4 linked regions of the Coturnix japonica genome follow. The protein of the gene in region 3 purifies or fractionates together with the protein of the main gene of each other region. This does not show direct contact. Links are inferred from orthologs where the notes say so. Each region holds a gene or a part of one and is shown on either strand. Other genes may lie near its edges.

Region 1 (4,192 bases), on a different chromosome or scaffold from region 3:
ATAAACGATAATTTTAGATTGCATTTTTGAAATTTCTTTTTAAATACTTCTAAGTAGCTGAAGATCACAAACCTTCAACAGGAATGTTTTGACACTGATACAGAAGGAGGGTGGAGATTATGAGCAGTATGTTGGCTTCCATCATCCAGTACAAGAGATGCTGGAGGTCAGTATCAAGAGACATCAGCACTAGCTAATAATAAAGCATTAAACCTCTTAAAAGTCCTACTACCCGGTATTGGCTGTATTCCCTAAAAGTAACTAGCAGTCATTGACCTTGAGACAATCTGTTTCCCCCATTTGGAGGATTCAGGCATCTTGGATTTGCTCTATGATGACACAATGTAGCCACAAGTGAATAAATCTGGTCTTCAATACCAAAGATACACAGTAACTTTTCAATGTTGCTGTTTATTTTTATTGCCAGCCTCACAATAACCTGTTAATCAAAAACAGACTCGGCAAGAACACAACATAGGATACCCCGGAGTTAAAAGTAAATACATTAAGTATGTCAATTAAAAGAAACACGGAAAATGACGCTAATTTAAAGCTGGTATTTTCTACAACACTATGTTGAAAAGATACCAGTTTAATTCTGATGAAACCAGAAACCATTGAGGACAAAACAAATTCAAAACTGCAGTTTTAAGCAATACAGATGTGCCAAGGTAAGGATTCAGGTAGTTCTGTCTGAATGCCACAGAACAATCACATGTCTGATTAAAGTTCAACATAGACTTCCTTACAGTGAGAACTTGCAGGATTATGTGCTCAAAAGCAGGAAAAGAAGACGTGAAGGGATAACGAAGGTAAGAAAACTCTGGCAAGGTACTATGCATGGAAATAGTGTACATCCATACACACTACAGAGATACACACACCATACACACAGACACAATGTATATAATACTATGTTTGCATATATACATGTGTGTAAAGAAGTATAGTTTCCCTGTCAGATACTATGTAGAGAGCTCAGTAATTACAAAGATGCCACATGATAACGTTTGTAAACCCACGTTTGTGACACCAGCCAAGAGCAACCTTTGGGAAAGTTACATTATTCTTCTAGTTTCTTATACCACACCCCTGCTATACACACCCTTCTTTAGGGAACAACTCCAGCTTCTCAGCTCGGACATAAAACAAAAAATAAAAATTAAAAATAAATAAATAAATAAGGACAAAAAAGGCAGAACACATGCAGAGATGCCAACCACCTCGTGCCTTACAGCCATCACCAACTTACAACAACAGCAACCTCAGTGTCACCTACGATCAGGCCCACCCACATCACGGTCTGACACCGATCAGGGATTCTCACGCACGAATCGCCGGTTCTCGTGCCATCCACAACCCCAACACCCTTCGGAGTCGAACAATGGGGCACACCCGGGCACTGAGAGATGCCAAGGAACCGCCACCCTTCGGCCCCCTCACACAAAGGGCTCGGCACGGGCTCCTCCAGGCCGGGGAAGGCGGAGCGGTGCAGACCGATAACGGGGGCGACGGTTCCTCACACCCCTCCTGGCAGCCCCGCATCGTCTCATCCCGCAGCGCTGCGGTGTAGCGGCCTAGGTGAGCCGCGGCGGAGCAACAGGCGGGCGGAGGCAGCCGCCTCCTTGTGGAAAGGGCTTCTCCAACCACCGGACGGTGGGGGACAACCGGCACGGCTCCACGTTTGGGCACGGGGGCATCCAGGAGACAGTGGCCTGCCCTGGATGCCTCCTGGGGAAGGCAGGAGCGGGGATGTAGAGCTCCGTTTCGATCTGGGCGTGCTCCCGCTCCGGGCCAGAGGAAGGGGGAGGGGAGGCGGCCGCAGGTGAGCGCTCCACCGGCCTCGGGGGCGGCAGCGCCATCTGCGCCGTGCCGGAGGGCGGGCGGTAGGGCCGGCAGGGCGGGGACGGCACCCCGGTGGCCGCATCGCCGCTCCCCCCACCCCGAGGCCGCGTTATCCGCAGCAGCAGCCGCATGGCACGGGGCGGCGAGCGACAAGACGGCTCGGGGAAGGGCCTCTACAACACCGCGGGTGGGGGAGGAGGAGCGCGTTACCTGCCCGGGTGGCTGCCCAGCTCCCGGTCGCTCAGCGCCGCCGTGTAAATCTTCCGGTATCTGTCGGCCAGGGCCTTCCCCGAGAGCAGCAGCTGGTAGCGGCCCCGGCAGCCCGGCAGCGGCGGCAGGGCTCCGGGCAGGGCTCCCAGCGCGCCGCCGGAGCCCTCCTCGGGCCCCATGGCCCCCACAGGAGCGGAGCCGCCGGAGAGGAAGAAGAAGCCGCCCTCTGCCCCGGTGCAGGAGGCGACGGCAGCTCCCGCAGAGGCGGCGGCTGCGGCGCTCATCCCCTCCCCGCCCGCCCCCTGGTGGCTGCGCTGCCCGCCGGCCCGGCGCGCGCACAGGCGGCTCCCGTCGCCTTCACCGCCGGGGCCCGGCCATGGGGAGGCCGCTGACACCGCCGCCGCAGCCCCGCGGGCTGCGCATCCACTCGGGCCGGGGCCGGGCTGCGGAAACGCGCCCGCTGCTCCCCTCGGCGGGGCGCTGGGCCCCGGCTGCCCCTCCGGCCCGGGCGCAGTGCCGGCCGCCGCCGCTCTCTCCTGCAGGCGGGCGCACCGAGCTCCGGGCAGCACCGTACGCCTCGGGACCGGCGGCCCGGCCGCTCGCTTCCTCCTCCCGCGACAGGGGGCGGAGGCCAGCGGCTGCCGCTTCCTCTCCGGAGTTTCTGCTCGGCGCCTCCGCCCTGGCCGCGCAGCCGCCCGGGCCCCACCTCTCTCCCAAGCCAAGCGCATGCGCCGCCCCGCCTCCTGCGCGGCCCCCGGGAAGAGCGGGGCGGGCGGGTGGGTGTCGCACCTGCCACAGCCGCCGGCGGTGGTTGTCAGCGCGGAGGGGTGCTGCCGCCTCAGGGCGGTGTGAGGCGAGCGACTGGACGCCTACCTGTGGGACATGGTGTAGGGAGCCTGCTTTGGCAGGGGGGTTGGACTCGATGATCTCTAGAGGTCCCTTCCAACCCCTACAATTCTGTGATTCTGTGACTGTGTGGGCCACGGGCGCCTGAGGAGAGCCCTCATGCTTGCCGAGCACGTAGGGGAGTACTTTTCTTTCGCTGTGCAGAACGCCCGGTTCTAGGGGGCTGTCACCGTGTTGACCCCTTATGCTACGATCTCTGCTCCGCCTTGAGGCCTTGCGCTGATGTGACCTACTGCGGCACCGGCTCCCCACGGCCTTTGTGCTGTGTCCAAGAGCAGGTCAGGCTCCTGGCAGGGAGCAATGTCTTCTTAGCGCATGGCTCCCTACATGCAATGCTTATGTGTAACCAAAATTTATTTAGATAGTCTTTGCTGGCCACAGGATGCCTTGCCTGTCTGTAAAGGATAAGGAAGCACTGCAGCAGGCACCCTTACAAAGTATATTCTGTTACCTCCTTTCATTCATTTCTTTCATTTTCACTTTTTATCTCTTTTAATTTTAGCTCTGCTGTTCTGTCACCCTTTCTGCTGTTTTACCCAGCTGAAAGCTTCAAGCGTACAGATCATAGTGTGTCCTGTGAAAATAAAGTGAAGAAAATCTATACTAAAATAAGACTGCATGTAAAAAGCAGCTTGGATTTAAGTCTGCAAAAAAGACTATCTCCTAACATACCACCCAGTGCCTCACTCTGCTCACATCCAATGTTTGGTCTCCGCAATTGCTCAGTAAGCATCATTGGATGTCAGTGGGTGCCATTTTTTCCACATGGAAGAATTCAGTGACACACTTCTGCTCCATTCACACTTGCATGTCAGACGCCATGTTGTCAGACTGTCCCTCTGCTGCGGCCTATTGCATGGCAACAACATGTAACGGGATAGTGGTAGGAAGTTTCAGCCTCTACTGCCGTGACATCAACATCTGCCTCTGACATCATAGGCCAACGTAAAATAGAAGGCACTGCTTTTGGAACAGCCCTCTTTCAGGGCTCTATCCGTATAGACAGAATAGCAAACAACTTTCTGTGTAACAGAAAATACAAATAAACTATGCAACTGTCATCTTTGCAATGCTCCTATACGCTTATATGTTCACACTAAATTTCAAATACTTTGTACAGAGAATGAAGGATGCAAAAGATAATAAACTGTACAGGTTTTCTTTGGAATAGCTGGCCTGGTAACAAAGACAGCCAGATTGGTGGCATCACTGAGAACATGTTGCTTTCTGA
Region 2 (3,994 bases), on a different chromosome or scaffold from region 3:
TTGCACAAAGAAAATCTAAATACATTCTGGGCCCTTTCAGAAATGAACAAAAACCACTGAAAATCTACTCATCCCTTCTATGTGCCGAACATGAGCCATAGTGAGGGCCAGGGGAATCCTTTGTCCTTAGTATTAGCAGCCAAGTCGTAATGTATGTGCATTAGCAAGACTGCACGAAACCTTAACATTGTTATATCCTAACTTTTGGATGCTCGACTTCATAATGTTAACAATCTTCCATTAGCGTGGCTGGTGTTACTTATCACCATTGTAATGTTTTCCCTTTTAAGGTTTCTCCTCATCAGTGGGAGAGGGAGACATTCCTGCCCTGCACTTTATCAAACTGAATCTTGTGTTGTTCTTCCCTGCACAATCTAGTAATTTTTTCTCTATTTCCCATCACTTCACATCTTCGGTTTGAAAATCTAATTAAGATGTTGCTTAACATCATTAATGATCGTTAACAAGGAAGTAAGTAAATCCAGAGCCAAGGCTGAACTCAGAACACCAATTTAGATACCGCTTCTACTCTGTATACTGTCAATTTTGGTCCATCATTTGCAGTTTGGGCTTTTGATAGCATTGATTATGCCCTAACTAATAAGGTGTTATGCTTGAGCAACTCAAAAAGCAAAACAAAACAAAAACTAAGTTACCTGTGCTCTCTTCCTTTGAAGTTCTTCCTAACACGTCTATATTCTTTCAATTCCACCCAACCTCAATTCTTAACTGTAAAGCACTATGTCAGAGGTCCTCAGCACATGTCACAACCACTCCTCTCACCTGCTTGCCTTTAGTGCTACCATTCCTCTTCTAATGATCAAGAATAAAGTGAGCGATGGACAGGCAGCAGCTGGCTCAAAATAGAACACATCTGACTCAAAGCAAAGAAGTCAGCTTGCTTAATCCCCTTTCAGCCCTGCATGGTACACTGCACAGCCTCTTTTTCTTTTCCCCTGCTCTTTTATATTATCACATTGGCTCACTAACAGTAAGTTACCATCAGCTGTACTTGCAAGGGCTACTAAGAAGAAAGTGAAACAAAGCGACCACAAAGAAATCATGACTAGCCCTTGTCAGGTACTGAAGGTCTTGCTTTTTGAGGTACCACAATCCTCCCATTTTAGTAGTACAGGTGACTTCCTATCTGGGGGATGTTAAAAGGTGTTCTGTATCTTATCATTGAAAGAACATGGACAGTTACGGTGCCAACCATATATTGCCAAAGATTTGAGGGGAAAAAAAAATGGCTCTGTTCTTATTGCCAATCCTCAATTAGACCAAAGCCGGTGACTTTATATATGGATACCTATTTCACAGTAGAATTTTTTATACTTACTCCTACTACCACTTTGTTTTCCTAAATAGTAAGTGTATTTGTTAACAGGACTGTTGGGACCATACAGGGGGGAAAAAAAAGGTGAATTAGTACTAGCAATGCTTGGTGTTGGTTTAGGCATTAGATTATTCTCTTCATAGATAACAAACGGATTCTCTAGCTGGCCACAGAATTCCCCACACTATAACCCTAATTTAGGCAAAGTAGCTTTGGCAGAATGAGGAGTCAAAAATTCAGTGGCCTGAATCTTTTCTGGTCAGTCAGACACAGAAAGCAGAACTTGAGCACTACATAGAACAGAGTTTATAGTGTTACCGAAAGACTTCATTCTGAACTGAAAACCAGATTTGCTGAAATGCACCCTGAGCAGTGGAAATTTCAACTGTGAATCTTGTACATGTCAAAACTGTAAGCACGCTTCCCCATCATTTACTTACATAGATCCATAATATGGTTTCTGCAGATGGCACAGTTATCAACCACAATGTCCCACGCCCACAGAGCTACTGCATTCCACTAGAGTGAGGGGGGAAAAAAGAGAAACATAAATTTTATTCAACATATAACACATGGAAATCCTCATTATTCCTCAAGATCCTCTTTCTTTCTGAAATGATAAGGTTAGGATATTAAAAGACACACACCTTACAGCACCAGAGTAATTCTTTCTCAGATACCTCTCACACTCAGTGCCTCCTTCCAGTCTCAGAAACAATTGATACTAGTCCCACTCTCTTTTTTTTGCCATACAAATGCAAACATCTGCATTTCAATTCATAATCTGGAGGCAAGAATGCATCTCACGCCACATCCTCAGTTTGGAACTTCTCTTGTTTGTAGCTGTTTTCCCAGTAATCATCCCTCAGAGCAGCTGGGGCCAACAACCAGAATCACCTCTAACTTTGCCCCTCAGCGACTCCTGAATCATTTTCATTGCAAAAAATATACAATATCAAAAGTGCTCCCACAAAGTGCTCCTAACCACCTCCGGGCCTCGTTGAAGTGAACTTGGGATCTTTCACCACCATTCAGCTCGCAGCCACACTGGAGAGGGTAGGTCAAAGAGGGATATTATGGTTGTTAGGCCAAAGAGGGATATTATGGTTGTTTGGGGGAAGCAAAGCAAACCGGGATGACAAGACAGCATTTGTTGGTCACCTACGAGTTGATTTGTGAAGAATACAAAAAGAAGCAGCCACACAAATGCGTGCAAAGCTCCCTTCACATCACGTAGGGCCACTAAGACAACTGAGCCAAAGCAGCCGGGACTGAGGAGGCAACAGCAGCGCACCGACTCGCCCCTAAGCCCGGCATTACCCTCGGCTCTGGGCGGCGGGGCCCAGCCAGAACTAGCCCCGCCTCGCCTCTCTCCCTCCTCCTCCCCGCGTGGTCGCGCCCTCTGATTGGCCAACCTCCGTTCCACGCGCGGAGACCCGTCTCACCCATTGGCCCCGACACACGCCAATAGACTCCGCAAGCACCGCCCCCCCCTCCCCTCATACGGCGGTGCCGGTGCGGAAGCAACGCCCGGCTCCGTGAGGGGGCGCGGAAAGCGGCTCAGCGCCCCGACCCGCTCGCGGCCACCTGGCCGCTCCCGACCTCCCTCCTCCCGCTGGGACCGGCCGGGTAGAGCGCGCCACGCCAGCAGGTCTCACTTTCTTCACTTCGAAGCGCTTCTTGCCGGCGCCGCTGTTGGTGCCGCTGGGGGTGTCCACATCCATCGCAGCCGCCATTTTGGATGCGTGAATAGGCCGTTCCGCTCTGTGCGCATGCGCGGCGGAAGGGGCCGCAGGGAGGTGTGAGCGGAAGGTGTAGGCGGGGCTTCCGCCAGGGCCTGCCCTTACCCCCCCCCCCCCCCCCCCACACACACCCCTCCGTCCCCGGCAGAGCCTTTTTAAGGGAGGAGGTTGCCTTGCTCTTCAGCCCTTGCTCCCTTCCCAGCCCCTCAGGTGGGCTGAGCTGAGCTGCATATCCTTTGTACCATATCAGCCTCAGTGCTACCCCAGTGGTGTGGGATGTCTCTGGGGCGCTCAGGATGCACTCAGGAATGAAAATGTTCTGAAAGAAAGCAGGAATTCATGTGCTCCGAAACACTTTTTAGAGCAATACTTTATTGTACAGAGGTTATAAAAATGAAGTGCATTTTATAACTCCTTAAAGAACTGTAGGGCTGGCTGGCTGCCCTCCATTGCTGATGCCACTAAAAGTAATTGATTTGGCTAAGTTTGCCTTTGCTGTTGTGAGTGTCCAGACAGACAGCATCACAAATGGTACCTCATTTACCGTCTTTCCACATTGCCACAAAACTTCTCAGAGTTCATGAATATCATGGAACTTCAATACTCTGTAGCATCCCCAGCTGATCTGGAGTGCTCAGAGAAAATTTGAATTCTAAGAACAGAGCCAGAGGGGTAGATTAAGCAATATATCCCATAGTTTTTTGGCCCAGATCATGGTTGGTTTCTGCATGAACCCAATCCCTCTGCCTCTGTGTGTTTTCTAGATGATGGTCACATTATATTCCCATGTAGTGCCATTGTTTTTTCAATCTGTTACTAAAACCTCAGGTGAGAAATGAAGCCTCCCGCTCCCCATAATCTGACTAAGATGAACAGATGAGATTCAGAGAGAGGAACGAGTTGCAGCATTTCATGG
Region 3 (3,500 bases):
CAGCCTGGGATAGCCAGAGCAAACTAGCACTACTTGTCCATGTGGGCTTGCTGGTATCTAGTAACAAGAGAAGAAAGAACCCGGCTATCCGACTGCTTCTTTTTGTAAAACCTCTTGCATCTTAGAACACCTCAGATCTCTACCTGCAGTCATGGCTGAGTGACACTTTGGTTCAGAAGATTTAGAGAGCAACTGGCACGTGCAGCCTGCTGACTGGAATACATTGCAGTTCCAGTGAAAATACACTAAAAAAACACACACTCTGGTATCCAAAATAGGGATATGCTACACAATATACATAAAGTAACTTCTCCATTACAGCAGGCATTGCTAAGACTTTGACTAGAATTTTGCATCCTGTTTTCTGCACTATGCTTTCAAAAAAGCATGTGAACTAATTTGACTTTGGATAAATGGATCAGGAATGGTGAGCAGCCAGCACACTTGCTGCAAGGAACACTACAGAATGTTTTTCTTTCCTAAGCTGGACTTAAAGAAAGACTGATGCAAAAAAGAAAAAACACAAAAAAAAAAACCTCCTCTCTCCTGTCATTTACCTGTATTCTACTTGCATAAAGTATTCAGAAAGAAAGCCTTAAGGCTGAGTGTAAAGACAAACTACTTCAATATTGCTGCAGTTAAACAGACAGTGGTTCAGATCAGTGGCTGTACTGTGTTTTCTGAGGGTCCTGACAATCTGTGGACTATGACAAAGGCAACTGAGAAAGGTGACTAAGAAAAGGCAACCGGATTAGTACTCTTAAACTGTGGCATTAAAGATCTCTAACAATTGTCTGGGGGGGTCGCAAATGGGGAAATACTGAAACGTAAGAGAATTCACAATGGGGCAGGAGTGGGGAAGACAGGCACACTGTTCAGCCTCATTATTCTACTCATGGGCTGTTTCAGCAGGAGCTTACCTTTCAATTTCAACAAACTTGAAAGTCCTAAAGCTCTAAGCACCTGTAGCCTTCTGCCTCTCCAAGTTCCACTTACAAGCTATAAATACTACCAGCATGATCAACATAACCCAATTACTTGACCCTCTACTACTCCATTAGTAGAGTAAGACACTTATATTTGCCAACTGGAACAAGAGCCACCAGTGAAGATAACGTGCACTGTTCTCAAACTGCTGCAGATAAAACCATAATATGAGGTAGGTGGTGCAGCATTTTTAACCTGTTTGCTGCTTGTCTCAAATACTCCGCAGCCCATGAACGAAGGAGAAGGGATGGTGATTTTTGATAAATTTTGCTATACATTTTAAAATAGAAAACCATTTGATCTATTATGGTGAAAAGCACCTTTTGATGATAACATTTATTAAAAACGTCTGCAGCTTCATTTTCTGTGCCACCAACCAGACTAGTTACACGCTGAATGCAGTTTCCCAGCTGGGAGCTGAATTTGTTGTTTATTTCTTTTTTGAGTTCTGCCAGACTGCAGTGAGAACAGGCACATGCATGACATTAATTTTGTTCTCCTTTCAGTGCCTGGAAATGATGTTCAGTGAATGAACAAGATATCTTTTGGAATAGTAAAGGTAAGAAGAGTTGACATGAGGTCTGTGTATGACTTTGCCAGCATAACTGTGGTGAAGTCAGGCAAGAGGTAAACTGGCCATGCCGTACACTGGTACCAAGAATGATCTGCATCTACAGCAACATGTCTCTGCAGACAAAGCCTCAGAACTGTAGATGCAGCCTTTGCTCAGAACCAATAAAACAAATACTTAAGTCAGGGCATTAAGTTTTAGGTTCATCCTTACTATGAATTACAGTTTGGAACTAGAGGATGTGACTACAAAATAAGGATGAACAGATTTGCTTAATTCAGAACATTAATCCAATGGGGTTTCTGGCACATTTTCAAATACTGTATTAGCTAATGTATTTAAATAGTAACATTAGAACTTCTTTTGGGGAAACCAATACAACATTTAAAAAACGCCTAACAAACAATCCCAAGCTCTAGAAAAGTACATAACTTGCCAGGACAGAGATTTGGGCTTTATTGTATTATGGACTTTAAAAGTACTCTTTAAAAAAAAAAACAAAAAACAAAAAACAAAAAAAAAACAAAAAACCCACAGCCTCTAAATTAAAGCAACATACGACGAAGATGAAAAAATGGAAAAGGGGAATATGACCTAAGCCCCAGTATTTTCATGGTCTGTATAATTCTGGAGCAAGGATTTGCAGTTTATTAAAGAAGGTAAAATACACCATGTTCATATAAGCAGCAGATGAAAATCACTTACCTGTAATGAATAGACTCTGTTAGTATGCCCTTGCAGCGTGTGCAGACAGGTCTCGGTCTCTGGATCCCACACTTTGACCATAAAATCATATGCACCACTTACAACCCTTCTTCCGTCATACTGAACGCATCGAACTGCAGCTACGTGGCCCATCAGAACATGTAAACACTGGCCCGTCTCTATGTCCCAAACTCTCAGTGTAGCATCTCGAGAACCACTGACCACTCTGGAGGAACAAAAAAAACCCCTCCTATATTTAGCGTTGGAAATAAGAGCATTAAAACAATGAGATAGTTATAAATCAGTTACAAGTTTTCATCTGGAACACTAGATAGCATTTGTCCGCTAGCCACCGAAGATCTGGTTTGACACAACAGTTCATCAGGGTTGCAAATGACTTGAGTGCATTTCTTCCTTGCTCTGCTTGTCTCTCCAGGATCCATTTGATATAATTAGCAATCTATTTAAAAAGCACTTCAGTCATGAACAGCAAAATGATGCCACGAGAAACTATGTGGACCATTGTATCCATCCATGAAAGCTTATGAATATGCCGAGTTCAAATTAGCACTTTGAGCATCCTGCTTAAATGACTGAATTAACTAATTATAACAATTAAAGAAGATCCTTCTTTAGAAGTTATACTTTTAGCAAAGGAATGATTATTCTGCTTGTTTGCTTTTTTTTTCAGTTTATACTTTTAAAAGCCTTTTTAGGCAAGCACAATTTTAAAAGTGAGAAGGAATTAATATTAATGGCACAGATAAAGAAAAACCTCAGCATTCTTCAAAAAAGAGAAATGTAACCAACAGGCACTCTGACAACAGCACCGTGCCACAGCCAAGTAACTCTGCCAATGTTCCTTGAACCAAGACATGAATTTCTACCGCAGAAATGATGATACAGTAAGTTAAAATGTTGATAAAGAACCGCACCAACAATACTAAAGTCACTCTGCAGAGAGAGTAAAAGTCTGTAACGTACAAAAAGCTAAGAATAAATTATTTGCTGTGGTAGACTGGATCGGGTTGTAATGAAGAATGAGTTTTAGAATAAGGTAAAAGACAGCTTTATAAAGTTCCTGACTCTCTTAGTTTTCTGTTCTTTAATTAATATCCATATGCCTTTGCTTCAGTTAATAATCTCCTCCCTTAGTCAACTGGCATACTTTAGTTTGGATGCTCCGCCTGTTTTGTATTTCACTCAGTGTCTGATCAGACACCCCAATTTAACAAGT
Region 4 (4,040 bases), on a different chromosome or scaffold from region 3:
ACTTCAAAGAACACCAGCTGTAGTTCCCCTAACACCGCCTGAACCACAGAGACCTTTGTACAAGTGACAGTTTGCATCTCGGGCTAAAACAGGAACGTGGTCAGACCTCAACCACGGGAAGGGAAGTCCTGGGGGGTGGGGGGGTGTCCGGCCCAGAGCACAGGAGCTGAGCGGAGGCCTCGTGGCAGCTGCAGCTCATAGGGAGCAGATGGGCAGCGCTGAGCTCAGCTCGGTGTGACAGCGACAGGGCCCGAGGGAACGGCATGGAGCTGTGCTGGGGAGGGGGCACCGACAGGGTGTGACACACGGGGACAAGGCAGAGAAGTGTAAAAGGCAAAGAACATTCAGCACGGAATTCTGCAGGGGGTGAGCTCAGTAACACGCTCAGAGCAGCCAGGTAGTTCTGTGTGTGCGTTCAGCACTCTGGCTGCCATCTGCTCTGCCTTGGGCACTTTGTTTTCCTCAGGCAGCTCTGCCCGCAGCCATTCACTCGGTGTAAGTGCAGGCTCCACACGGTGGGACAGCGCTGCTGCGGGCACGGCTGCTCCGCGCTGCCCCTGCATTGCCCCGTGCCGACCACATCCACGCTGCGATGAATGAAGCTCGGCACGACCCCGCGCCGCAGCTGGGCCCCACGCCCTGACCCGGGTGGAGCAGCGCGCAGCCCGGAGCCACCTGCCCCCATTACAAAGTCACCTGCATGTCCAGCCCGCACGACACGAGGCTGCGCGGCCTCTGCGGCCGGAAGGCGACGGAGGAGCAGATGTTGTGGTGCCGCAGGGAGCGGATCACTTTGTTGCCGTCCAGATCCACCACCTTGACGGCCCCGGAATCGTCCGCCGCGGCCAGGAGGGTCCCGTCGTGGCTGCTGGCCAGGCAGTCGATCTCGTCCTCGTTGAAGCGGAGCCGCTCCACGGGCTCCCGCGGCGCCCGCACGTCCAGCACCGCCACGGCCGGGCCGTGCGCGGCGTACAGGAGGTGCGGGCGGCGCGGGGAGAACGACAGCGCCGCCACGTCGTGCTCGGCGGGGTTGAGGCGCAGCAGCCCCGCGGACACGCCGTCCCGGCCCCACAGCGCCAGCTCGCCGCGCTCGGCCCCCGAGGCCACGGGCCCGTCGGTGCCGGCGGCGATGCAGAGCACGGAGCCGCAGTGCGCGCCGTGCCACCGGGCCGCCATGATGGCCGGCAGCGCGGGGACGCCGCTCTCGGGGCGGACGCCGGCTCGGCGCATGCGCGGCGGGCGGCTCGGGGCGGGCGGTGATGGCGGCGCGCGCCCCCTCGCCTTGAGGCCTCGGCCGGGCGGGCGGAGCGCTGGGCACCGACCCGCCGCTACCGGCACCGCCCGCTGACGGGAAGGGAAGAAGGGAAGGAAGGGCAGGAAGGGCCGCTCGGCTCCCGCGGCGCCGCCCCCCCACTGCCCCCCGGTCCAACCCCCTGCGCGGGGGGCGATGGCGGCGGGGCCCGGCGGCGGGGCGGCGGGGGGAGCGGGGTGGCGGCTGCCGGGCCGGGTGCTGGAGCTGGTGTTCTCGTACCTGGAGCTGCGCGAGCTGCGGAGCTGCGCGCTGGTGTGCAAGCTGTGGCACCACGTCCTGCACGGCGACGAGAACAGCGAGGTGTGGCGCAGCCTGGCCGCGCGCTGCCTGGCCGAGGAGGCGCTGCGCACCGACATCCTCTGCAACGTGCCCACATACAAGGGCAAGGTGAGCGCCAAGCCCGAACCCCCCGCGCGGCCGCGACGCCCCCCGCGGCCTGACCCCCCTGTTGGCTCCCCCCGCCTTAGGTCCGTGCCTTCCACCACGCCTTCAGCACCAACGACTGCTCCCGGAACGTGTACATCAAGAAGAACGGCTTCACTCTGCACCGCAACCCCATCGCCCAGAGCACCGACGGCGCCAGGACCAAGATCGGCTTCAGCGAGGGCCGGCACGCCTGGGAGGTGTGGTGGGAAGGGCCGCTGGGCACCGTGGCCGTCATCGGCATCGCCACGAAGCGGGCGGCCATGCAGTGCCAGGGCTACGTGGCCCTGCTGGGCAGCGACGACCAGAGCTGGGGCTGGAACCTGGTGGACAATAACTTGCTGCACAACGGGGAGGTCAACGGCAGCTTCCCGCAGTGCAACAACGCGCCCAAGTACCAGGTGAGCGGGCGGCCGGCCCTCCCTGCGCTCCCCGGTATCTTTATCTTAACAGGTATCACGGCTGTTCACACAACCCCTGTGTGGTTGGGTTGGAAGGTGCCTTACAGCAACCCTGCTCCCAATCCCTGCCGTGGGCTGGCTGCCCCCACCGGCTCAGGCTGCACAGGCCCCATCCAGCCCGGCCCTGAGCACCTCCAGGCTGCAGGAGGATGGGGCACCCACACTGCTCTGTGCATGATTCCTTTGTTTCTGCCTTCTTTCTCAAATACGTGTGGGTGTTATTAGAACACCGCATCCCCCGCTGCAACAAAAGCTGGCACTGCTCTCAGGAGCATTAAAGGGCCCAGCAGTGTCTGTTGACGGTGGGTGTTTCACCCCTGTGCTGTATGCACTGTGAGCACAGGCCGTGCTGACATAGGGCCCTCCTATGCCGTGCGCTGCTTGCTGGCTCTCTGGGCTCCTTCCCATGGGTGACATCCTTTGGCTGGGCCCTGACGTGTGGCTGATTTGGGGTTATCAAAGTACAGGTGCTGCTCCGCTGTTGTGTCTCGCAGCGAGTGTTTATCTTTGTTCTGGTTCCTGCACAGCTGCCTTTGGACTGATGGTTTTCCTCACGTTGCATCTTCAGCCGTGTTGCAGCTCAATTCCAATCTCACAGCGTCACGGTTTGGGATGAATAATGCCTTGTGCTTCAGCTGTACGTGAAGATCTTGGCATTAACTCAAGGCTGATATTTCTACATCCCATATAAAAGCTCACTGCCGAGCACTCAGCTCAGTCTGGAAATGATATCTGCCATTTTTGCTATTGAGAAGTAAATGTGGATCAAAGAGAATTGGCCCTTTCCATCCCTGCCCATTGGCAGCCCCTTCCTGCTGCCCCTGTCTGGGCCTTTCTGTGCAGCAGGATGAGGAGAGGTTTTAAAGCCAGGAGAGCTCCCATGGGGCCTGCAGGCTGAGCTGCGCTTCCTTCTTAAGAACTGGTGAGGGCTTGAATCAGCAATTTGTATTTGCTAAGATGTAGAATCACAGAGTTGTACACAGACGGTCACCTGCTCATAGGAGACACGCTGCAGGGAGACACGCACTTGTTAGCATTGGTTAGAAGCAAAATATATTGGCTGGAAGGAATCCCTGGCGCTGCGGTTGTCTGGTGGAGGAGCACAAGTTTGTGCTATCTCATGCTGCATTTGCTGCTGGTGCCTCTCCCTTCTGTTTATATTTGAAAGCAGCAAGTGCAGGATAAACATGGGGAGCATCCCATGCACCGTGCCCCAAACCTGTTGCATTTGGTGTTGGTTTTACCCACACATGTGTATCTATACTGTAGGTTTTGTGTACCCATCTTGCCAAAGATTTGCACTGAATTCTTTTTATGCCTTGCTAAGGGAGCACCGCCGTCAGCTTGTGCCATCAGAATGTGTTCTGGGGATACTCCACACCTGGCTTTTACCTTTAAAACAACTCATCTAACGTTGCTCTTTGTAGGCTCTGCTGGTCACTGCTGGCAACAGAGCCCTGGTAACTTGGGGCTATTGGAAATGTTCAGGCTCCTGCTGTGTTCTGGAGCAGAGCTCTTGCTTGTGCTGCTGCTGCAAGGTCCACTTTGATGGGCTGTGTCTGATGCTGGGAGGGTGCTTAGGCCTGGGCTGCCTGCAGGAACAGGCAGCAGATGTACGGGGTCCATACGAGAGGAATGGAGACATCTCTGTTGTGAAAGCACCGAGGAAAGCCTCGCTTTAACCTGATCTGTGTTATCCACGGATTTTGCTTTGGTTTTTGGGTTGTTTTGTTGGTGTTTCCATCTGAATATATTGACTCTTTCCTCTTTTTTTGTTTCTTCTCCCTCTTCTTCCCATCTCTGTTTCCAGATAGGCGAAAGGATTCGAGTTATCCTGGACATGG

Evidence for each region. Proteins that work in one complex are often made in the same cells at the same time.
Region 1: the proteins of FBXW7 (region 3) and MYCBP2 purify together in Homo sapiens (affinity purification with mass spectrometry; 6 studies listed by BioGRID and IntAct, counting the BioPlex papers as one, with this or other methods). This does not show direct contact. The link is inferred for Coturnix japonica from reciprocal best matches to the Homo sapiens genes FBXW7 and MYCBP2.
Region 2: the proteins of FBXW7 (region 3) and RBX1 purify together in Homo sapiens (affinity purification with western blotting; 8 studies listed by BioGRID and IntAct, with this or other methods). This does not show direct contact. The link is inferred for Coturnix japonica from reciprocal best matches to the Homo sapiens genes FBXW7 and RBX1.
Region 4: the proteins of FBXW7 (region 3) and FBXO45 purify together in Homo sapiens (affinity purification with mass spectrometry; 4 studies listed by BioGRID and IntAct, counting the BioPlex papers as one, with this or other methods). This does not show direct contact. The link is inferred for Coturnix japonica from reciprocal best matches to the Homo sapiens genes FBXW7 and FBXO45.

What each region holds. Positions count from the first base shown.
Region 1 is NC_029516.1:138,282,556-138,286,747, reverse strand, and holds the start of MYCBP2 (E3 ubiquitin-protein ligase MYCBP2), read right to left. Parts: upstream 2,801-4,192; 5' UTR 2,784-2,800; coding exon 2,056-2,783; intron 1-2,055. UniProt on the Homo sapiens protein: Atypical E3 ubiquitin-protein ligase which specifically mediates ubiquitination of threonine and serine residues on target proteins, instead of ubiquitinating lysine residues.
Region 2 is NC_029516.1:45,482,598-45,486,591, forward strand, and holds the start of RBX1 (E3 ubiquitin-protein ligase RBX1), read right to left. Parts: upstream 2,801-3,994; 5' UTR 2,786-2,800; coding exon 2,657-2,785; intron 1,856-2,656; coding exon 1,777-1,855; intron 1-1,776. UniProt on the Homo sapiens protein: E3 ubiquitin ligase component of multiple cullin-RING-based E3 ubiquitin-protein ligase (CRLs) complexes which mediate the ubiquitination and subsequent proteasomal degradation of target proteins, including proteins involved in cell cycle progression, signal transduction, transcription and transcription-coupled nucleotide excision repair.
Region 3 is NC_029519.1:29,734,121-29,737,620, forward strand, and holds part of FBXW7 (F-box/WD repeat-containing protein 7), read right to left. Parts: intron 2,490-3,500; coding exon 2,264-2,489; intron 1-2,263. UniProt on the Homo sapiens protein: Substrate recognition component of a SCF (SKP1-CUL1-F-box protein) E3 ubiquitin-protein ligase complex which mediates the ubiquitination and subsequent proteasomal degradation of target proteins.
Region 4 is NC_029524.1:3,579,950-3,583,989, reverse strand, and holds the start of FBXO45 (F-box/SPRY domain-containing protein 1), read left to right. Parts: upstream 1-1,240; 5' UTR 1,241-1,447; coding exon 1,448-1,699; intron 1,700-1,779; coding exon 1,780-2,136; intron 2,137-4,006; coding exon 4,007-4,040. Other genes in the region: WDR53 (WD repeat-containing protein 53), read right to left, coding at 697-1,176. UniProt on the Homo sapiens protein: Component of E3 ubiquitin ligase complex consisting of FBXO45, MYCBP2 and SKP1. Functions in substrate recognition but also plays an important role in assembly of the complex.